3 linked regions of the Lepisosteus oculatus genome follow. The protein of the gene in region 1 interacts with the protein of each later gene in a biochemical or structural test. Links are inferred from orthologs where the notes say so. Each region holds a gene or a part of one and is shown in the gene's direction. Other genes may lie near its edges.

Evidence for each region. The genes of interacting proteins can lie anywhere in the genome.
Region 2: the proteins of ubiquitin-conjugating enzyme E2 N (region 1) and ubiquitin thioesterase OTUB1-like form a complex in vitro, tested with the Homo sapiens proteins (6 studies listed by BioGRID and IntAct, with this or other methods). The link is inferred for Lepisosteus oculatus from reciprocal best matches to the Homo sapiens genes UBE2N and OTUB1.
Region 3: the proteins of ubiquitin-conjugating enzyme E2 N (region 1) and rnf111 form a complex in vitro, tested with the Homo sapiens proteins (4 studies listed by BioGRID). The link is inferred for Lepisosteus oculatus from reciprocal best matches to the Homo sapiens genes UBE2N and RNF111.

Annotation. Positions count from the first base shown.
Region 1 is NC_090702.1:52,389,769-52,397,135, reverse strand, and holds the start of ubiquitin-conjugating enzyme E2 N, read left to right. Parts: upstream 1-4,307; 5' UTR 4,308-4,338; coding exon 4,339-4,425; intron 4,426-7,367. Other genes in the region: mrpl42 (large ribosomal subunit protein mL42), read left to right, coding at 1-30, 1,035-1,198, 1,859-1,904. UniProt on the Homo sapiens protein: The UBE2V1-UBE2N and UBE2V2-UBE2N heterodimers catalyze the synthesis of non-canonical 'Lys-63'-linked polyubiquitin chains. This type of polyubiquitination does not lead to protein degradation by the proteasome.
Region 2 is NC_090713.1:22,664,849-22,672,722, forward strand, and holds the start of ubiquitin thioesterase OTUB1-like, read left to right. Parts: upstream 1-4,840; 5' UTR 4,841-4,906; coding exon 4,907-4,949; intron 4,950-6,348; coding exon 6,349-6,410; intron 6,411-7,874. Other genes in the region: slc22a6l (solute carrier family 22 member 6), read left to right, coding at 1-49, 309-512, 769-862; cytochrome c oxidase subunit 8A, mitochondrial-like, read left to right, coding at 2,070-2,183, 3,112-3,207. UniProt on the Homo sapiens protein: Hydrolase that can specifically remove 'Lys-48'-linked conjugated ubiquitin from proteins and plays an important regulatory role at the level of protein turnover by preventing degradation.
Region 3 is NC_090700.1:46,404,278-46,411,641, forward strand, and holds the start of rnf111 (E3 ubiquitin-protein ligase Arkadia), read left to right. Parts: upstream 1-4,330; 5' UTR 4,331-4,760; intron 4,761-7,364. Other genes in the region: sltm (SAFB-like transcription modulator), read right to left, coding at 1,157-1,212, 1,347-1,434, 2,725-2,859. UniProt on the Homo sapiens protein: E3 ubiquitin-protein ligase. Required for mesoderm patterning during embryonic development. Acts as an enhancer of the transcriptional responses of the SMAD2/SMAD3 effectors, which are activated downstream of BMP.

The DNA of each region.
Region 1 (7,367 bases):
GCAGTGGACGTCCCCTACGAACACACCCAGGTACACCCTGCAGGACATCACCTTCATCATAATAGCAAATCGCGTTACAGGCAGATTGCAACAGAAGGTTTTCAGATCCAGTCAGAGCACCAGCTTGGTGTTTTTCTAGGTGCATTTGTGTCTTATGCACTTACTGTAGGACAGCACCATATCTGATCACCTTCCACCACAATATCAAGACCCACATTGTAGCATTTACTTTTAGATCGTATTCCTTACTGTTGTGATTTCTGTCTTGATTGATTATGCTGATTGATATTTTTCTTCTAAAGTTAATTGACAGTTTTGAATGTAACCTTGTATACAGCTGACGGTTAAATTAAGTAACATCATCAAGTGAGTGAATTCTATTTAAGCACCGTATCACCTTTGGCGCGAGGTCGCTTTTGGTAGTGGATCTTACCATGGTCCTAGGTTTGCGGGTGCCTGTCATGTCATTTGGTTTTGTTAAATTTTCTTGCATCGGGTGGTAAGCTCATTTCAATTATAGAACATTTCCAGGCATGACTTAAATTTGGTATTAAATTTAAATTTAAAATTAATAGCACCCCAGAGTCATGCAATGCAAAGTGCAGCTTCTTGCAATCTGCTGATGCCCAGTCTTCAGCATTAGAAGGCCGGTACCACAGGAAGCAGCTCTAGTAGTGAAAGTGAAACGTGGTCTCTCACTCCTTTCCTGAGATCATTGTTCTGGGGCTGGTCTGCGAGTTACCAGTTTTAGCCAGGGTGGAAAAGAAATGCTCCTTGTAAATTGTAATGCACAACTATGGCCTGTTGGAACGTTATTTTGCAACATTAGCTTCTTCTCAACACTTATGGAATGGAATCTAGATTAAAATCATTTGGGAAATGGCCGCACTGTTGCATTTGTTTGTCTAGAGCACGATGTGTGTCTAGCTCTTTTTCTTTAAATAAGAACGGGTTGTGAAAATGAATACCTCCCAGTGCAATTTAAGCGAATTTTGCTCTTCACAAAACGTCATTGTTTATTATTCCTGGTCTAGCCTATCCCTCAACCAGACCCCCTGAACAGACCTGAGGAAACACATGATCAGGTTCTGAAGGCTCACTTGAATAAAGAAGTTTTGCGAAATAAACAGGCGCCCACCATTGAAGAGCTGAGCAAGATGTTCTACACCACTAAACACCGCTGGTACCCAGTAGGACAGTAAGTACAATATCCTGTAAAGGCCTGAAAAGAATTGCACACTGTTTTAGTTTTTTATTGCTGTGTGCTGTTAGTGTGATATGCTGGTTGCAGAATTAAGGTTAAAATGTACAGTATGCAACAAAGTAGATCATAGTAGATCACAACCTATACATCTGTATGCCTTATGGGGGTGTGGCAATTTCTGATAAATTACATGACGTAATTGCATGTCAGTATAATACTATATTTTTTGTTTTTATATACTATTAATTTTTACACAAAAGATAATCTCTAATGTAGGCTCCCATATTTTTCAGAGTTATTTTAATTTTTATATATAGAATTATTTATTTCTTCCAGTTAATAAAGTACACAGAACTACACATTTAAGTATTGTGTTTTTTGCGTCTGCCTGTGGTATGAAAATTTGAGTAGAAAAATTGTGTGGCAGTCCAACCTTTTTATTTGAAGGGCCCAGTTCCACAAAATGTATATTTTAACTTGGATGGAGAAAGTGATAAAATAGACCTATTCCTCAAATTTGTTTTTAACTCAGTTCAGTCAGATTAAGTGATTTACTTTGATGGATTAATTCTGACAAACAGATTCATGGTGTAGCTGCTGAGTGAGATATTGCACAGAGACCAATTTCTGAAATTTATTTTTATTTCCTCTCAGGTACCACAGGCGACGTAAAAAGACTGACCCTCCCAGAGACAGATAGTCTTGAACACAGCTGACATTCAAGAAATGGTGACATTGTGCTGTCTGTGAAGATGTTTGAAGTCCTCGAATAAAAACTGCAGTTCTAATTGCTTTACTGTATGTTTTGCAAATGATTTTGAGTGCTGTCCTGAAGATCCTTTGAAAATATGTCCATTCTCTAGGTCATGAAAGTAACAAGAACATTCATTTGACACTCATTTAACAGCTGTTAAAAGGCACACAACATTGGAACCACAAACAATGAAGCTAGGATATTTTAAAATATTATAAGGAAACTTATAATTTCCTTCTAATTCTTCTGTAATATACTGTACATAACATGGAATTAGTACTACTGACCTTCTTTGAACTATTATTATTTCTCATTCCTGTGCAAAATCCTATTTTAGATACGAAATGAATGGAATACCTCAAGTTATGAGCCACCTCTTGTTATGATGACATATGTGAATTCAGAAAAATATCTGATCACTTTCCAAAGCAACTTACGTGATTTTTTGTGAAATGTGTGACTGCAGTTCAGTGAGATCTCACAAAGTGGTAGTAAATGATTACCAACACGTGCTTATACATAAATGACTTGGCTGAGCTCTGCAATGTGATTCTTTACTACACAATGGTGGATTGTTTATTTATTTTATATATATATGTAGCAGTGGTTAGAGGTCTAGATGGTGAAATTCACATTGTAGCTTCAAATATGATTCAAGACACTGCTGTTGGACTATTTATTAAGCTGTTTCACCCAAAATACTTCAGTTTTATACTCTGCTGTATGAATGGATACATGTGCAAGTCATTTTAGATTAAAGGCAGCCAAGTAAATATTTATCTGATCCCTCCTTTAAATACGTACACTGGCCAAAATACTGATTTTCCTGATTTGATCTGACTGGTTCAAGTGCACTTCAAGTTCAATGAGCTGTTACAAAATTGTTGTGGTTGTCTGAAAGATTTAAGCTTAAGATATATATGGTTTAGTTAATTGTAAGCATCTACAGTCTTTCTGTCCCTCAGCATCACAGTGTATAGCCTACTCAGGCAGTGCAATATAGTTGCTATATACTTGAAAAACACCAAAATCGTTCCTTGACAGCATATAAATAACATGCCAATCGAATTAAGAGTACTTAAGTTTTAGACATTTGACCAAAAAAAAGGTCTAGAAGAGAAATCTGAGAATTCCTTACCCCCATCTGAAAAAATTGCGAGATATACTTGCTCTGAAACTGTTTTTGTTTACAGGAGCCAAAGTATTGGTGGCAGTCTCTCGCAGATAAAACTAGAAAACTTCTGAGAGGATAAGTGCACTTTATAAAATGTTCAGAGGAGAATGGCATGCGGTTGAGAAAAGGAATGTAAGGACAGTGTGACCGGGTGAAGAAAGGATTTTAGAAATGTCAGGAGAGAGATGGAAATGAAAAATGGAATTGAGGCTGAATGTAAATGTTTATTTTTCTAGCATGACAACAGAAAATTAACTGGCTCTGAGGGAACGGAAAGTTTTAAATGAGGGAAGAGAAAAGGCTGATGTATTAAAGGAATATTTAAGTCGAGGAATTTTAGTCTTTTAAGTGGAAGCACTTTAAAAAAATCTCTTTTACCCACTGTACTCAAGAAGAAACACAAGCTGATATTTGCAGGCCATCAACAAAACTTAAGTCCATCTCTCAAGGGTCATACTTATTTTATAACCCCCATCCATTAAAAGGAAGAAAGACATAATGTGATAAAACTGTACATAGGTTCAAATAATTACCTAATAATTACTGCCAAATATATACATATGATGAAAAACTGATTAAAAATGAAAAAATATTTCTATATGAAGCCAGTTTACAAACTAGTTCAAGTAGGTAGCTGCGTCAGCTGCAAAGAAATAAAGGTTTATTCCATGCTGAGAAGAGAAGGAGACACAACGTTGCGTTTTATATTATTATTTAATGTAAATAATATTAATTATATTATTTATATTAATTATTAATTATATTATTTATATTAAGATTATGATCTAGCAGATATTTTGTGCTGCAATTATATTCCTTATAAGGAATAATATTCTGTATTATTCCTTATATGCCGTGGCTGTAGTGGTAACTATAAAACTGCCTTTTTGCGGGGAAATTCTAAGACGTCAACATAAGTGATGAATATTAGCTTTCACATCACAGAAGTCCTCTAAACGTCAGTTATTGATGTGCATTTTGGGTCCGTTTAATGCATTATATGGTAGTTAACAGTTGTAGCTCGGCGTGGAGTACGGGAGTGATCCACCTAGGCGTCTGTCGGGACGTGTAGTTCATTTCATTTGACGTCTCCCGGCGTGTACGTAGCCGCTCAGCCCCCGGACAACTACATTACCCGGCATGCATGCGGGGAGGCAGTGCTGGCATTCACCGGAAGAGCCGTGCGACTGCGCCCTAGCGCCGTGAATGCAAGTGAGAGGAGAAGCAGCGAGAGAGTCAGAGCTGAAACCGCATTACGACAAGATGGCAGGACTGCCCCGCAGGATCATCAAGGTAAGCCGCTACAGCTTTCTGCACTAAACCGTAGCGTACTGGCAGCTCTCTTGCCCCAAGGGGGGACGGGAAAATAGTGAGCAAGCGGCTCCCGCACGGCTAAGTAGTCTTGCAATACGAGTATTTTCCCCGGCTACTTCCGCTTATTCTCTGCTCCAAGCCCGAGTGCCCGACTGAGGCTGGGTTAAAAATACCTCCTCCCTGGTTAAAGATGGCGGAGAATCGGGGCCCTTGTCGTCTTACGAAGGACTGTTGGCGGTTTAAAATGAGCGGAACCGGGTTTTTTTTCTCGCAGCAGCAGATCAGACCTCCCACTCCCCGCTCCCCGAGCCGTGCAGGCAAGCGCCATGTGTAGGCCATCTGAAAATGTCATCGAGAGCTGCCGTGGAAAAAGAGAGGCGGGGGGGTGGGTGACTTGAGCAGCCGTTTAGCAGTCGGGCGTGGAGGGGTATTTGATCTGATCGCGCCCCGAGATGTTTGCCAGCCGCTCCCGGCGGGTCGTGTTTGCAATCGGGAGGGGAGGGAGGCGGAAGAGGGGACAGGCCGGCGCTCGGGTCCCGCTCCTCCGCCTGCGCAGGGCTTCCCCTCCAGGGCTAAGGCCTCGGTCATGGGCGGGATCTCGCCGCGCAGGGCCCATAGAAATGAATGAGATGGGAGAAGCGAGTTTTCGGAGATGGGTGTGAGGGGAGGGCAGGGCAGGGCGGGGGTCAGCACGCCGCGGCTGCCGGTGCTGGGAGGACATTTCGCCCGGGCCTTGCCGATCCGAGCTGCTTCGTGACGATCTTTATCGTCGCGGCCTTTTGTTGGAGGCACTGCCGTGACGCTTGTGGCGAAAAAAAAAAAGGGTGGGGGTGAAATGACGCTAGCGCCTACCCGAATCGGGTCTGGTGCCGCATCAGGATGGTTTAGCTAGTGGGTAGTGGGTGCAGCGCGCTGGAGAAGCGTCTAAGAATGCCCCTCTAGCGACGTGAATTTCAGCACCGTGTAGAGCACTCCTACGTTTCATCTGGTAGAAAGACGTGGGTGTTAAAAAAACGCAGCAGGACCCCTATAGCTGCCGAGGAACGTTTCATTTTAATTTCTCGAGGAGGGTGTTCAGCTCGCCTCGGCCCGTCCAGGCGGTCTGGTTGCTGCTAGCAAATTAATCCGGGGCTTTCGGACCTGTTGTTGGAAGAACAAGCAGCTCCTTTTAATCAGGGCTGAGAGTAATTCGTTTTCTTTTTCAGATTTAAAAGCCCTTCACATGCGCATAAAGCACTGAACTCTGTAGCTGTAGACGAAATTCTAATGTGTGCGGTCTCTTCATGGGTACTAGCAGGTGATCATGGGTTTCATATAAAATCTTCCATCATAACACAATTCCAGGAAGTGAGGCAGCAAATGCAGTTCAGTTTCTCTCTCGTTGTAAATAGTTCATTGTCCCCAACAGTGCCAGTATGCTTAATAATGTGAAACCTGGATTTGTTTTATACTATTCAGCTCTTGTGCAATTGGTATTCTGCTACCGCATCGAAGAGTGCTCAGTGAAAAGCTGGTTGTGTTGGCAGATTTGTAAGCGTTGCGTTTGCTTATTGAGGCACGTAGTGATTGTTTTTTTTTAGGTCTGGCAGAGTGAGGAGGTGTGGTTTTGTTGACTTAGCCCTTGTAGATGGCATCAGTTGTCTCTTCCTGTGTAGAATGGAATACGTGTACAGAAAACCTAACTCCTTCACAATTATCTTCACTTTGAGTTCCATTTATCCCACTGCGTTATCTGATGCAGGGTCACACGGACGCCAGAACCATCTCCCGGAGTAAATTAAGGGAAATGGTGTTTCTTAGATGCTGAGTTGCATGACTTTCTGTGCTGTTCTGCTGAAGGAAATTATATTTGCAGATCTGACAATCACGCAATGTGTGCTTGCTGGTTAGAGCCAATTCACAGTGGAACTAACTGAATATCACCGTAAGACCATTTCATTACAGAAAGCCTTGAGGTATAGTTTTGGATTAAAGGGAGTTAAATCCAGGAAAGGTGAAAAATCCGGGCTAGGTAATGTTTACTCCCTTAAATACTTAATTTTAACTTGCATTTAGAAACCACAGAAGGTTCTGGATTTTATATTGAATTAGAATAGAAAATCTGAGACAAGGCTTGAAATCTGTTATTGTGGTATGTGAATCACTGCCTCTTTGTGTTGAAAATGACTGATGTACAGCAGTTAAGCACTGCAGTGCTCTTTAGTGCAGAGAGGGCTTACAGATTCTTGTGCAATGCATTTAATGAAATGTGTTGGCTGATCATGAAGTACAGGTTTTTACTGTGCAACATCCCTACTTGGTGTGAGTCGCTATTAGTTGTTGGGGTCTTTAATTTTATTCCTAAATAACTCCAAAAAAGGTGTGAGACCAGGTGCATTGGGAGGCAGGTAGAATGATTCTACAGCATCATAGTGAGGGAGTGTCCCTAAGCATGAGATTTTTTAAAGTTGTTTGAAGTATTTTGTGTCTTTTTTGGGAAATTTTTTTACATATTTTTGTGATGTCCGCCCACCCGATTTGCAATTGACAGTTGTGCTTTCAAGTCTCAGCTTACAGCTATGAGCCTTGCAGCCATACCCAAGAATGAGGAAATGCTGCCAGACTCCCACAGCCCACCTGCTTTCAAGCTGTTCATATTTTTACACCTCGCAGGCTATGCAGCCTCGTTCAGGAAGTTCAGCATTGGTTGGAGGAGAGGTGCACCCCTCTATGACATCACTTCCGATCTGCAGGTGCCCAGGAGGTTCACAGAGGTCACTTTGAGCTGAGAGAGTCCTGGCCTGACTAACTCCCACCATATCTCTGGCACCTCTTGGCCAGTTTAGCACTGGGCTAGTGACATGACCCAGGTTGGAACAAGTGGCGCTCGGATTGTAGCATCCTGCCTGCACGCAGAGAGTGGTTGAGTCACTCTGCAGGCT
Region 2 (7,874 bases), on another chromosome or scaffold:
TCCAGTGCTGCTACCTCTACTCCGCGGAGCTGTACCCCACTGTCATCCGGTAACACCCCCGATTCCTCACCCCGTCACCCCCAGTCCTCTCCCTCTCTATACCGTGGAGCTGTACCCCAAATCTTCACCCTATCACCCCATCACCTCCAGTGTTGCTGTCTCTACTGTGGGGAGCTGTACCCCAGTTCCTCCCCCTATCACCCCCCCCTCTCTCTAGTGCCGCTGTCTCTCCTCCAGGGGGCTGTACCCCACCATCAGGGTGGAATACGGGGTGCTGATTCCGTCTCCCTCCTGCCCCCTCTCCCCAGACAGAATGGCATGGGGTGGGTGAGCATGATGGCCCGGCTGGGGGCCATGGTCGCCCCCTTGGTGCAGCTGCTGGGGGAGTTCCGGTTCTTTTTGCCCGGCCTGATCTACGGGGGCGCCCCCGTTGTTTCGGGGATCATCGCCGCCTTCCTCCCCGAGACGCTGGCAGTCGCCCTGCCTGACACCATCCAGGACGTGGAGGAGAGGTGAGGGGTCACGCAGGGGCGCCAGGGAGGGCTGGGACTGTTCTGACGCTGTCGGGCTCCAGAGGAACCTCCTTTTCCAAAAGACTGGACCTGAGCCACCGGACCAGCTGGTCTTATAACACTGGACCTGAACCACGAGTTGTCTCCTGTCCAAGCGTACAGTTCTGGACAACTGAATTATAAATGAATATATAAACTTCTGCTGACTTAATTACTGTTTTTTTAACATTTTAACATGCGTCTCTCCCTGTTCCAGAGCGCAGGGGCAGAAGGCGGCGAAGGCTCCGCCCAAAAAGGAGGAGCTTGTGCTGAAAGAGGTCAAGCATTCGCTGCTGAAAGAGGCCATATGAGACCACGCCCCCAATCACAAATGACCACACCCCATCACTTCTATAAACACTCCCATTGGCCAGTCCTATCGCCTTATTGTCTGTATCCCATATATGCGCCTTGTCCACATGCCAGCGTATTAGATCAGTACCCAGAGTCTCAGGGTGTCAGCATCTCAGAGAGCTGATTGATTTTAAATTTTTTGGCTGCTAACGAGAGGAGGCTTGATCCCAGTGTGGCTCATCTGGTAGTCTAGTAGCGCAATCATTCTAAAATTTTGTTCATCACCTCAACCACCTGCTCCAGACACCCACAACTCTCCTTTGTGTAAAGAACTGCTTCCTGTTCTCCGTCCTAAATGAACGCACGTCCAGTTTCGACCGTCCGGCAGCACGTCTCTGCTGCTCCGCCGAGTCTGGCGCGGTCACCTGGGCTGACCCCCGGGGTTCAACGAGCCGGTGTGCTTCAGCGTGTCAGCGGATGAGTGCGTCTCTGAGTCTGAGTGCGCCTCAGTGTGTCCGCGTGTCCACACAGCGCCTGTGTATCGGTCAGACCACATACAGATACAGAGAAACAGGATCTAAGTAAAGAGGACATCACCTGTCTGAAGCACAGAGAGGGGTGAAGATGTATCCCAGGGGGAGGGAACAGCTCTGTACGGTGACCCTTCAAGAAAGCCTGGAAAGGGATGTTGCTCACTTGCCCTTGTCTTGCCTGGTGTGTCTTTTTCCTGCCTCATGTTTTCAAATCCTAAATAAATAATTTCAATAATCTAGCACATACCCTCTGGCTAAAACTCAGTCTGCTTTTGCTTGGTGGTTTTGAGATTATTTACAGGTACAGCACTGCTGTATGAAATAAAAATAGTGCCGGATTCAGAAAGGTATTCTAAAGATTTAATTTCCTCTAACCAGTATGTATAGAAACGTGCAGGATTTTTCCCTTCACCCGACTGAAGGGGGTGTCTTTCCAAGGAAGCACGTTCCAGAGGTAGGGTTGCCAGCTCTGGCTGACTGTGGGCCTCGGCGAGTTTTATTTTGGGGGTGGGAGGGTTTTCTACAAGCTGGAGTGTCGATAAATAAGACACCCCCACCCAAAAGACTACAATTCCCAACATCCCCGGTCCTGAAGGCCGCGCCGTCGACGTCATATTCCCGTGACGACTCTTATTGCCTTCCGCTAGGAACTGACGGCTGCAGGTTTTACGACTTGAGCACTGGAACAGCGATGTCTGCACTCCTGCGAGGTGTCCTGACCGCCCGCTCGGCCCTGCGGGGACCAGCCATCGCCCAGCGGGCTAGTATTTACACAAAGCCGCCCAAGGAGGCGATCGGCACCGTTGTAAGTGTTCGGGAGTGAGTCTGGGCGCTGGCCCGGGATCCGGAGGGTGTCGCAGCCCGGGCGGAGAGCGCACCCGAGGCCGGGGATGTGCCAGGGGCCTACTTGTAATCGCCCGGAGGTCGACGTGGTGCGAGAAGTAAACAGTTCATGACGCTCAGTTATCAGCCGTAGTTGTGAATTTGGTCCTTCTTCCTGTTTTGCCGTGTGATGCGGGAAGGTCACGGTGTGTCCGGCTGGAGGTCGTTGATTCGGGTGGCGGGTTTAGCTGTCGGGATAACGTGCAGTCTTGGTTTTTAATACGCACACGGCCATCTCCCTAAATAGGTAGTAAGTAATAAGTAATATGGTTAGAAAGGGGGTCAGGGCAGATCGAGACGGTTTATCAGCGCAGGTGTGATGTAACCGGCCGCCTTTAAATAACCCCCTTCCTCTGCTGTGGGGAAAACCGACTCCTGTCGGCTTCGGCCGGAATGGAGACGCGCTCTTCCGCCCACTAACTTCTTACGAATCAGCGCCGAACCTCAGGGCTGTCGGAAGGGGTCCCGGCCGGAGTAGTCCCCGGCCTGCTGGCGCTCACTCTGACAGGTGATGGCTGAAGGCCGGCAGGGAAACCTCCTGCAGCTCCGGGGAATCCCGACTCTAGGCCCTGATCTTTATTCACCTCCCTGGCTCTGAATTGCCGGCTGATGCCTGATTCCTAGTTTTGTGGCAGAGCCTGGCTTTAGGAATTAGCTTCTAGTCCGTGGAGCGCAGCCAGGGATCTCCAGCTTCTCACTGTGCTTTGACCACCATTGTGCGGTCTGTGACCTGTGACCTGTGACCTGTGACCTGTGACCTGTGGGCACACGCCTCTCCTCGGAACACGGCGGGGGGGGTCACCCTTCCCTTTCCTTCCCTGATCCCCCTCGGCTTCTCTGCTCCCTTCCAGGAAACGGCCATCGGGATGTTTGCGTTCTCGCTCGCCATCCTGGGCCCCTCCGGCTGGATCCTGTCCCACATGGAGGACTACAAGAAGAGGGACTGAGAGAGCCCCGGGCCGGGCCGGACTGGACCGGACCGCCGCGGACCCCCAGGGACCAGCGCTCCCCTCCTTCCTCTGCCCCCGTCCGCGGGTCTCCCAGGAGCCGCCCGGCGCTCGCTGCCTCCACGTTGTTGTTGTTGTTGTGATGTTTTGTTTTTTTTGCCCTCTGACGAGTATGTTACAATAAAAGCTATTTAAACTTCCCTCCTGTCCTTGTTTCCCCCCGGAGGGCGCCGTCCGCCTGTCCTGCCCCACTCCACTGTGGGGTGTGCTGGGACACAGGCCTGGCTGCCTGGCCCTTCAGAGTGAACACAGCCTCACTGGACAGCAGCTGCAACAGGCATCTGCTTGCTTCATCAGCGGTTTGGAAGTTCCTTTAAACTGGGGCTGTGCGGTCCTGGAGGGTCAGTGTGTCTAGAACAGGGCTGTGCGGTCCTGGAGGGTCAGTGTGTCTAGAACAGGGCTGTCCGGTCCTGGAGGGTCAGTGTGTCTAGAACAGGGCTGTGCGGTCCTGGAGGGTCAGTGTGTCTAGAACAGAGCTGTGCGGTCCTGGAGGGTCAGTGTGTCTAGAACAGAGCTGTGCGGTCCTGGAGGGTCAGTGTGTCTAGAACAGGGCTGTCCGGTCCTGGAGGGTCAGTGTCTCTAGAACAGGGCTGTCCGGTCCTGGAGGGTCAGTGTGTCTAGAACAGGGCTGTCCGGTCCTGGAGGGTCAGTGTGTCTAGAACAGGGCTGTGCGGTCCTGGAGGGTCAGTGTGTCTAGAACAGGGCTGTCCAGTCCAGTCCTGGAGGGTCAGTGTGTCCAGAACAGGGCTGTGCGGTCCTGGAGGGTCAGTGTGTCTAGAACAGGGCTGTGCGGTCCTGGAGGGTCAGTGTGTCTAGAACAAGGCTGTGCAGTCCTGGAGGGTCAGTGTGTCTAGAACAGAGCTGTCCAGTCCTGGAGGGTCAGTGTGTCTTCAGAACAGAGCTGTGCAGTCCTGAAGGGTCAGTGTGTCTAGAACAGAGCTGTCCAGTCCTGGAGAGTCAGTGTGTTAAGAACAGAGCTGGCCGGTCCAGTCCTGGAGGGTCAGTGTCTAGAACAGAGCTGTCCAGTCCCAGTCTTGGAAGGGCAGTGTGGGTCACACCTCCCCTGTCCTAGACACACTGACCCTCCAGCACTGGACAGCTCTGAGCAGGAATCCCTCACAGAATCCCTGCAGAACACTCCTGTTTCTCTGCAGCCCCTCACGGGGCTGGTTCAGTTCAGAAGCACCACACACTCTCACACAGTGCGTCATCGCTCAGAGGAAACCGCTGTTTTTACTCACCTCGGCCCTGTGTTTGGGTTCACACTGCCCTGCACCGGGAGATTAAGCAAACTGTCCAACTGAGATTTACACCATTCCTGTCTCATTCCCTACCAATCGATGCTTCAACCCGTTTAACTCAGTATTTGTCCACTCGAAGCTGTCGAGGGATACTAGGTAAAAGCTATGTTTGCGCGATAGTATAGACGACCGTTTTCTTTTTCAGTTTTATTGAACATCAGATAATACAAGCGAAGGAGAAGAGGTTTCAAGCGGCACAATACAGCCGTGAGCTATCGCCATGCAAACCCCGGTGACGTCATCCCCGAGCGATCCCCAGCAGCCTGACCCGGAAGCTGTTGGAGAAGAGCGAGACGCCGGGGGGAGGGGGGTCAGACAAACAGGACCGGAGAGGAAAGATGGCGGAGGAGCAGCAGGAAGCGACGCAGGGAGAGATGGAAGGTAAGAAACGGGCGAAAACGGGGACGGGAACGGCCGGCCGGCTCTCTGCAGCCCCCGACGCGGAGCTCCGCTCAGACGGCCCAGCGGTGAAACCCGAGGCCGGGGACTGAACGGGGCAGCAGGCCGCGAATCTCCGGTCTGAAAGATGGAGGGGGGGCTGCCGTTTACATGGAAACCGGAGAAGAAAGACAGGAAGGGGGACAGAGATGGAGGGATGACATTAGGAGGGGAGGGAGGCCGGCAGAGCGCCAGACCGACGGGGTGACAGTCTCCGATCCGGGGATCAGGCGGCTCTGGGTTACTGGGGGTTTGTCTGTGAGCCGACCCGACAGACCCGATCAGTGACACTCGACCGCGAACCCCGAGAGGGAGAGAGAACTGAGCGAGTTACCCCAGCCCAGCCGTCTGAACCCAGCACACTGCACCGGGGTGTCCAGTGGGGTCAGCGCTGGGGGTCACACTGCACCGGGGTGTCCAGTGGGGTCAGGGCTGGGGGGTCACACTGCACTGGGGTGTCCAGCGGGGTCAGGGCTGGGGAGTCACACTGCACCGGGGTGTCCAGTGGGGACAGTGCTGGGGGGTCACACTGCACTGGGGTGTCCAGTGGGGTCAGGGCTGGGGAGTCACACTGCACTGGGGTGTCCAGTGGGGACAGTGCTGGGGGGTCACGCTGCACTCGGTTGTCCAGTGGGGTCAGACTGCACTGGGGTGTCCAGTGGGGTCAGTGCTGGGGGTCAGACTGCACTGGGGTGTCCAGTGGGGTCAGTGCTGGGGGTCAGACTGCACTGGGGTGTCCAGTGGGGTCAGTGTTGGGGGTCACACTGCACTGGGGTGTCTCGTGGGGTCAGTGTTGAGGGTCACACTGCACTGGGGTGTCCCGTGGGGTCAGTGTTGGGGGTCACACTGCACTGGGGTGTCCAATGGGGTCAGTGTTGAGGGTCACCTTGCACTGGGGTGTCCAGTGGGGTCAGTGTTGGGGGTTAAAGTGTACTGAGGTATCTGAGGTATCGGGGTCAGTGGACAGATGTCTCGGGGTCAGTTGGTCAGTGGACGGGTGTCTTAAGGTCAGTGGGTCAGTAGATAGATGTCTCGGGGTTGGTGGGTCAGTGGACGGGTGTCTCGGGGTCAGTGGGTCAGTAGATAGATGTCTCGGGGTCAGTGGACAGGTGTCTCGGGGTCAGTGGGTCAGTAGATAGATGTCTCGGGGTCAGTGGACAGGTGTGTCGGGGTCAGTGGGTCAGTAGATAGATGTCTCTGGATCAGTGGGTCAGTGGACAGGTGTGTCGGGGTCAGTGGGTCAGTAGATAGATGTCTCTGGGGCAGTGGACGGGTGTCTCGGGGTCAGTGGGTCAGTGGGTCTGTCAGAAGTGACCCCGTCTCTCACTCTTTGTGTCCGCAGGAGTGAACTGCCTGGCCTACGACGAGGCCATCATGGCCCAGCAGGACCGTATCCAGCAGGAGGTGAGTCCGCCCGCCACGGGGCCCCTTTGGAATCTGCTGCGATCCCCTGGGATCTGTTTTGGGAAGGATCAAGCGGTGTGCCTCTGAGGTGGGATATTCTTGGGATACGGAGTTTCCCTTGGGGCCCGGCCAGCTGGGTGGCGTGAGCTCCGTGCGCTTGGCGTGCTCGGTGTGTTCGGCGTGGTCAGTGCTCGGGCCGGGCTGGTCCGGGCAGCTGCAGGGAACAGGGATTGAGGAGGCAGGGAGGATGGAGCCCGTGCTCCAGTCTCCCTGCAGAGTTAGTGCTCAGTACAGGACAGCCGTAGGACAGCCACTGGTCAGCCGTAGGACAGCCATTGGCCAGGTGTAGGACATCGGTAGGACAGCCGTTGGTCAAGCGTAGGACATCGGTAGGTCAGCCGTTGGCCAGGCATAGGACATCGGTAGGACAGCCGTTGGTCAAGTGTAGGACATCGGTAGGACAGCCGTTGGCCAGACGTTGGCCAGGAGTAGGACATCGGTAGGACAGCCGTTGGCCAGACGTTGGCCAGGAGTAGGACATCGGTAGGACAGCCGTTGGTCAAGCGTAGGACATCGGTAGGACAGCCGTTGGTCAAGTGTAGGACATCGGTAGGTCAGCCGTTGGCCAGGCGTAGGACATCGGTAGGTCAGCCGTTGGCCAGGCGTAGGACATCGGTAGGACAGCCGTTGGTCAAGCGTAGGACATCGGTAGGACAGCCGTTGGTCAAGTGTAGGACATCGGTAGGACAGCCGTTGGCCAGACGTTGGCCAGGAGTAGGACATCGGTAGGACAGCCGTTGGTCAAGTGTAGGACATCGGTAGGACAGACGTTGGCCAGGAGTAGGACATCGGTAGGACAGCCGTTGGTCAAGCGTAGGACATCGGTAGGACAGCCGTTGGTCAAGCGTAGGACATCGGTAGGACAGCCGTTGGTCAAGTGTAGGACATCGGTAGGACAGCCGTTGGCCAGACGTAGGACATCGGTAGGACAGCCGTTGGTCAAGCGTAGGACATCGGTAGGTCAGCCGTTGGCCAGGCGTAGGACATCGGTAGGACAGCCGTTGGTCAAGTGTAGGACATCGGTAGGACAGCCGTTGGCCAGACGTAGGACATCGGTAGGACAGCCGTTGGTCAAGTGTAGGACATCGGTAGGACAGCCGTTGGCCAGACATTGGCCAGGAGTAGGACATCGGTAGGACAGCCGTTGGTCAAGCGTAGGACATCGGTAGGACAGCCGTTGGTCAAGTGTAGGACATCGGTAGGACAGCCGTTGGCCAGACGTAGGACATCGGTAGGACAGCCGTTGGTCAAGCGTAGGACATCGGTAGGTCAGCCGTTGGCCAGGCGTAGGACATCGGTAGGACAGCCGTTGGTCAAGTGTAGGACATCGGTAGGACAGCCGTTGGCCAGACATTGGCCAGGAGTAGGACATCGGTAGGACAGCCGTTGGTCAGGCGTAGGACA
Region 3 (7,364 bases), on another chromosome or scaffold:
AATACCATGTAAAATGTGCCTGTGCCTTTTTTAAACAAATACACAAGCTCTTTATTTCATGAGCCATACATATACTGTATGATGTTCACTAATGCATATGAAACACACCCATCATACACTAATGACCTACCCCTATAGGGCACCATTGATATTGCTGAATTACAAAACTATTAAGTATTTTGTTTTTTTTTGTATTCTACATACCTTTTCTTTACATATTGTTAACATTTTAATATATTTATTTAAAATGTTTTTTTCAAAATTTTGAGGATGCATACAAGGCACAGCCCACTTCATAAGGAATTCACATACCCCAAAAAGGCTTACCAAAGTACTGGTATTCATACCCTTTAAACCTATATAAAAACCTATGTATGTCGTACAAAAGTTTTTGTTTTACTATTTTTGCATTTTACCGAGACCACTTACACATTCATCGCATTCTAGTTCTCCTTGTGGGAATACACATTGGTAGTACATTGGTTTTTCGTACATGAATAAAGTATTGCACTGTAATAAAATAGACTTTTATTCAATGTCTGTGATGAAATCTTTGTTCTGCATATGTACTTTAACAGTATTTTACATTAAACAGATTTTACAACGCATTTGTACTTTCATGTTTTCTATTTTTTTCTAGTTATAAGAATAAACCAAGCATGTCGGCTGAACTCACTACAGTTTTACATTATTGCGGGGAAAGTTCCATATTCTTGATTTTGCAAAACTCCCTTTAGCAGTTTGTCTGTTAAATCCAAAATCTATTAAGCGGAGAGTCAATTATGACCATTATAAGTAATCTTCTTTAACAGATATAATTCACCCTCACATCTAGTCAAAGCAAACAACCACTAACAGCCCTTTTACTCCTCTAGATTTTATGAGTGTGGTATAGCTATATCACAACTGGTTAAAAGGGTTATAAGAATATTGATTTAGTGAGCTCACACAAATGTAGAATAAACTGATTGTACCGGAACGCTGGACCAGTCAAGTTGATGTTGAAATTCTGGCAAAGGGATAATAGTGCCAACAGTTCTACCAACACCTGCTGATCATACCCTTGTCTGTGTGTAACTTGTGATATGCAAGATCCGACAAGATCAGTCCAATGTATTTGAAAGTTAAAAAAAAATTCAACAGTGATGATACGTACCTTGCAATAAGAATCTTCTTCCAGGTTTGCGTCCATGTCTGCATCCAGTTTTCTTCCTAAATGAAGAATTATATTCAGTGAACTTCACACACAAGTTTCTTGATTTCTAAAGTTAACAGATTCTCAAATTTAAATATTTTAATGTAGAAAGAAGAAGCCAGATGCGATTTCAACAACCACAACCATTTACCTTTTGACTTCGCATTCTTCCTTGTGGGGGTATCTGCGTTCAGTGGAATTTCGATATTATCGGAATCGCCACCTTCCTCTTCAATAGCCTGAAAAGTAAACATGACAATGATTCAGTATGAATAAATTGCACCCTCTCACAAATACCTGCAGAACACTACCAAATCACAATGCAACCCTTTAAAAAAAGGATTTTCAAGGAACAGGCAAAAGGGGGTCTCCTTATTGCAAATGCCGGGCAACAAAGTTTATTTATTTTAACCCCTTTGACCTCCGTGATAACGAGTAACAACTGCAGGACACCACCTCAAAACAGCCAAGGCACCAGCATACACAGAGGATACTGAGAAGAGATTAAGCCAAGCTGGCAGCAACAACTCACACCAATAAGACCAGTCTTTCCCTAAAAACCAAACCTCATAATAAATCTGCAGTTTCAAATACGCAAATCAAAATAATGTCTCCATTGTTGAACAACACAAGACACTTGATTTCTGTAACATCAAGTAACTGCATGCTGTACCTTCGCCAGTCCTTTAGGAATGACACCCCCATTTTCTTCTTTTACCACAATCTGGGACAGGGACGACATTCACTGCTGCGTCATACATACCAACACAGAACACCTAAAGGTGAATATCTGGCTTTAAATAACGCATCTGCAGTTATGTAGGACTATGGACGCCGAGAGTCCTGGGATCCTTATTGCAAAACCCGGGTTCGACTTCCCTAAGCGTGCTTGACTCAAATCGCTCCAGAATAGCTGTATACCCTCCACACCGTCATTATAAAGGACCTCGCCATTTCTTTACCTGGTTGATCAGGAAAAAAAACACTACCGAGTGTAAACGAAGCTATGTAGAAGTCGACCGTATAACAAAAAGGGACGTTCATTAAAACGAACTTGTACCTCGGCTCAATTTGCACCCCAGCATCCAATCAAACCTGGCTAGATGAGATAACCGGGCGTTTGTCTTCTTACTTAGGTTTTTCCAAAATTTAAGAAAGCCACACATTATCCGAAGGAAAAGGGGAATGTTTTTGTCAATATTATTGATCTCACTTGAAAACGACTATTAATTCATTCGCGCCTACCACTTACAGGTCTATTCTATAGTAATAAAACAGCCAATTTTTGCGCATATGAAGAATACACAAAGCTTTCTTATTGTCGTTCAATAGAGTATGACCGTATCGTTTTTATTATTTGCAAAACTCCACCGTGTTTCTATATCTACAGAAATTGGAAAGCGAAAGTGACAAACATCCACACACTTGATATCCAGCAACTAAGTATGCATGGTGGGAGGGGAAAACAAGGCCTTCTCTGCAGAAAAAAACACAACAAGATTTTAAGGCCGCTGATAATACAGGCTTACCTGCTTCAGCCTTGCAATTAAGACGTTCTTTACTCCCGTGATGTCCAAATTCCTCCGCTTTAACTCGGTTTTAAGGTCTATGACCCGTAATTCTGTGATTTTCTTAATCTCAGTGGCCACGGCTGCCGACGCCATTTTGCCAAACTGAATGAGAAAGGAAGGTGTTTATGGTTATGGAAACACCGCCAGTTCCCGGATGTTGACGACGCGTACAACGTGATGACGTAAGTATTTTTTTTCTGTAGGATTTGGTTAGAATTTCAGAAATGAATTTTGTCAACGTATTATTCCACTTTTGACCTCTGAAATCCGTGTTCACACAGTATATTAGAGAAAAGAAGGAAGAAAATAAATTAGGCAGTTTTGCGATTTATAATTAATAAAATGTATAGGTATGTTATGCTAGAAAATAGACCAACCTCATTCTTCGGATTATATAGACGTTTACTTTTAAAATAATTAAACATTATTAAATCGGATCTTAGAAAATCGTGAGACAAAAAAGTTTAAAAATAATAAGATTATTTAGAACGACTAAAATATGTGTAATGTTTTTTTTTAATAACAAAGCATCCAAATTGGAATAAGGTATTTCTAACATTTTGATAATTTGGTTACTACGTACTGAGGATATTCTAGCTTTTCTGGAGCACCCCTGTAAATCAGGTCCTATACTGTGACAGCGTGCACATCCCCAGCTCTTTGTCTAAAGATCTGTCACCTGTTTTCACGTCGAAATTCACTTATTCATACTGTACACTTGTGGTCTCCCCAATGCTTTTAATATTAAATATTAAAGAACATGCCTAACCAGAGCTGAATTAACTTGCTTGCAACATTAAATAAAGATAATCGGATGTGTCGCTTCTGTATCTCTATCATAAAGCAGTGTATGAATTCTTCGCATTCACAATTATATAATGTACAGTGGACAATTATTTTGGATATTTTAGTCAAAGATTTTAAAATCTGTGAAGACAATTTCCATTACAGTTTGCTTTTAAAGCCTTTGTCCGTCGACATTAGCATATTTCTGTACCAACATGTGTGGGCTTTTGGAATTGCGAAAACAAGTGGAAATTCTTATTACAGAGATATCGAAATGAAAGAGGCTTATGAAAGAAAGGTCACCTTTTGGTATATCGTGCTTTTTGGGTTATCAGCTTACACATACAAGATGTCCTAGTCCTAGTGGTCCAGCTTCGACAACGTGATTAGACAGATTTTCCAAATGTGAACTGTCTTTTTACAAAATCTATTCAAAAATGTGATTGTTGCTTTACAAAAATGTCACCAAATAAAATTATATATGTAAATTATATAATTAAGAAAATGTAGTTATTTCGGACGTAAATTTAATCTACCTACAAAAAATATTCAAGAAGTCCATATTCAGTATATAATACCAGCTTTCTATTTACATACAATCGTGTCGCTTATCTTACATTTGCATAGGTTCTAGTACAAAACACTTGCCACAAACGACCACTAGTGGGCACAGCGCCTCATGTTTCGAAGACCCCTTGCCCAGGAAAGGGCATGCCGTAAACAGCCTCTACAGTGTCGAAAAGTGTCGTGAAGCGTCCCTCGCTGAAGCGAGGCTCCGGGGGATTGTGCAGAAAACAGATCAGGCAAGCGCAGCTACGAAGAGGAGCTCGCCTGAATAAACAACAGCCCAAGCGAGGCAGGAATGACTGCTTTATCGAGGGCCCAAATGGCAAAAGGAAAGGTTTTCCGCCTTTCTCGAAACCTTAAATGAATCCCGGCCTCAGTTGATAGCCGGGGACTGGGCGGTTGAAGGAGAAAAAAGGCGAATTTAACTAGATCTCCCCCAGTTACAGTATCGGGGCCTTTGGGGCTGTTGTTGGGTTTGTGTTATCACTTTCACAACCAGGCGCTGCTGACGTCCGAGGGTTTCTCTACGCTATTTTATTTTCAGTGGGCTGCCCTCATTTTCAGGTCCTCGCTGAAGGTTTTCGTCAGAAACGGAATCCGTTGGAGAGCAGTGTCGAGTTTGGGGCCTGTTGGCGTGAAAGGTACGTTTTTATTTCTCCTTAACGTTCAGTAGTGGCAGTACTTGATCAGTACGACGAGCTATTTCGGATCAGAGTGCTAATTCAAATGGCTTCTGACTTCGCCTGGGGAAATGGAGAAGGGGGTGGGTGGGTATACGACTATTGAATAAACCGGATTCAGAATTAAACTCGTCTGAAAAGGAGAACCAGCGAGTTGAATTCCTGACTTGTGCCCTTTTATCGCCTTTTTTTGTGTGATAGTTTTAATTTAGAGTATTTTCATACGCAGTGCCCCTGCCCCCCTCCTTTTTCGGTTCGGGCTATTGACAGTGACAGATGGGAAATCTTGGGTAAGGCAGAACGTAGGTTTTTGTTGTGATGTGCTCGATGTTGCGTTGATAAATTGTTCACTTAGGCATGGTCGTTGAGCTTTAGACAATCATTTGGATGTTAAATGCTAATATACAATTGATTGCATTAATCCAAGCGAAATGTTTGTACACGGAGTTAGCTGGTCCGAGCTCGCTCTGGACATGTCCTGCCCCTTGCAACCCAGTTATTGTTCCTTTCTCCTTTAAGAGAGTAATACAGACAGTTAAAAATCCAGCGAGAAAAATGTCCCCACTTCTATAAGACAGTTTCGAATGTCATCTATAGTCTTGGCATTGTAAACTGCTCGGTGTGGAAAGCGTAGACACTAGCGTGTCCCATCGTGATATTTTAAAGAAATCGCCCTGCTCAATCTTCCCTTTTCGTTTCCACTTCTTCGTTCTAAAGCTAGTATTGAATTGTCTTTCCTTCAGCTTCGGCTATTGATCCTAAGTAATAGTCATATAACAATGGAAGAAAGCGCATGATCAAATACCGAAGTTTTAAAGAGGTGCAGAGCACGTTAACCTTCATTTTATCTCGTACAGTTCACGCCGAGATGTACTTGGTGCAGATCTGAAGCTTTTTATATTCGGCGCAATGTTTGTTTGTTTTTTTTAATGTGATTTGTGAAGAAAGTACCAAGTGAATCTTAGAACCGCCTGCATATCCACTGGGTGTGTGACTCTGAAGCCATTTCCTCTAAAAGAAATCGAGTAATACATTTTTTGTTCCGTTTCTCAACGTGAACATCTATGTTCTATCCCGTAGGAGAACTAAGTATAAAGTATACACCCATAAGGTACAAACAGACAGCGGCTGGCGGTGACTGGCTGCTCTGGGGAGCAGTGTGTGCAAGCTGGGACACACAGATACCCCAGGGCTTTCATTTTAACCACTTAGAAGCAAAGGTTTACGGCCAAAACTTGAAAAGTTTGTTTTCTCTTGTGTAACCTTTGCCTGTTAAGACCCCACTTTTCACATATTTGAAAAATTGCCCGGGAACCATACCTAGCAGAACAAATGTTGAGAATATATTCAGAGTATATAGGCCCTTACTTACATTTTGATCTTCCAGACTTAGTTTTAGTTTAATTATGATACAGATAGCTCTTTTATAAGTGAGCAATGACACAGTTGTTACGTTTTCTGTCATAGAGCAACCTTTTTCCAAATAATGTCTTCAGGGGCCCTGGATTCTTGCTTGTGTCATATGTGTGATGCTTTATTTTCTATTTTTAAACAGTTCAGTATTTTAATGTGGTCACTGGTATACCTATAGCTGTATCCAAGATTAGCACCTCTAGTTTATCTTGATGTATGTCAACAGTGCCTCTTCTATTTTAGAAACTTTAAATGTGGTTAGATAACACTCCTAGCAAAACAGGCTAAAGATGTCATCATGCATCACTATATTTAGCAAGGTGGAAAACGCAGAGAAAGAGAAAGTAGAGGGTGTATTATAATTTGTATCGTAACAGGTTCTGCATGTTCTTGCTTTGTGGCACCATTCACACTGGACGCTAACATTGGTGTTCACCAGAACCAGTGCCAGTTTCTCTCTTTGTACTGCTGTCTGGTGAAGGTGAAAAACATTACTAACACAAGGATTGCACTCTACCTGTTTACACACACTGCCAAAGCACCCTTCATAGCCTGTATGGAACCATAGGTGGTTTGTATCAAATATTTGTGCACTTGTCACAATAGGAGTTGGTGTTTGTTCTTGGTGTCACCTCCGTTGCAAAGCTTGGTCCAGCTAGAAGACACCATAAGGCAGGTCTGTGTACCTTGTGGTTTGAGGATCCCAGCTGTGTTAGAATTGAATTAATGGAAGAATGTAAAGAATATGAAATCAACAGCTTTGTAATTGGGGAAACTGGTGTTTATCTTATACAATGTCCATTTATCGATACTGTAAGCCGGATTTCATTAGTCAATTATGAATACACTAAATGGCATCATTAAGAGGAAGCCTATTTAGGATGAAGATCACCATTTGTTTATTATCTTGACCCTGAATTTCAGCATAAGTGAGTTAAGGCATGTGCTGAGTTTCTGTCCTCATCAGTACTTGGTTTTTCATTCTGGATCATTCTGGCAAGTCTCTTTACCACGCACATGTGAGCTCGCTGCAGTTGTGACTTGCGATATTTCTGCACACACAAAAAGTTCTTAGTCTTGCCAGGATCCCGAGTCTGAAAATGAATGGAGTGGTCTTGGCTCTTGCATTGTCAGTGCATAACTCATAGCTTC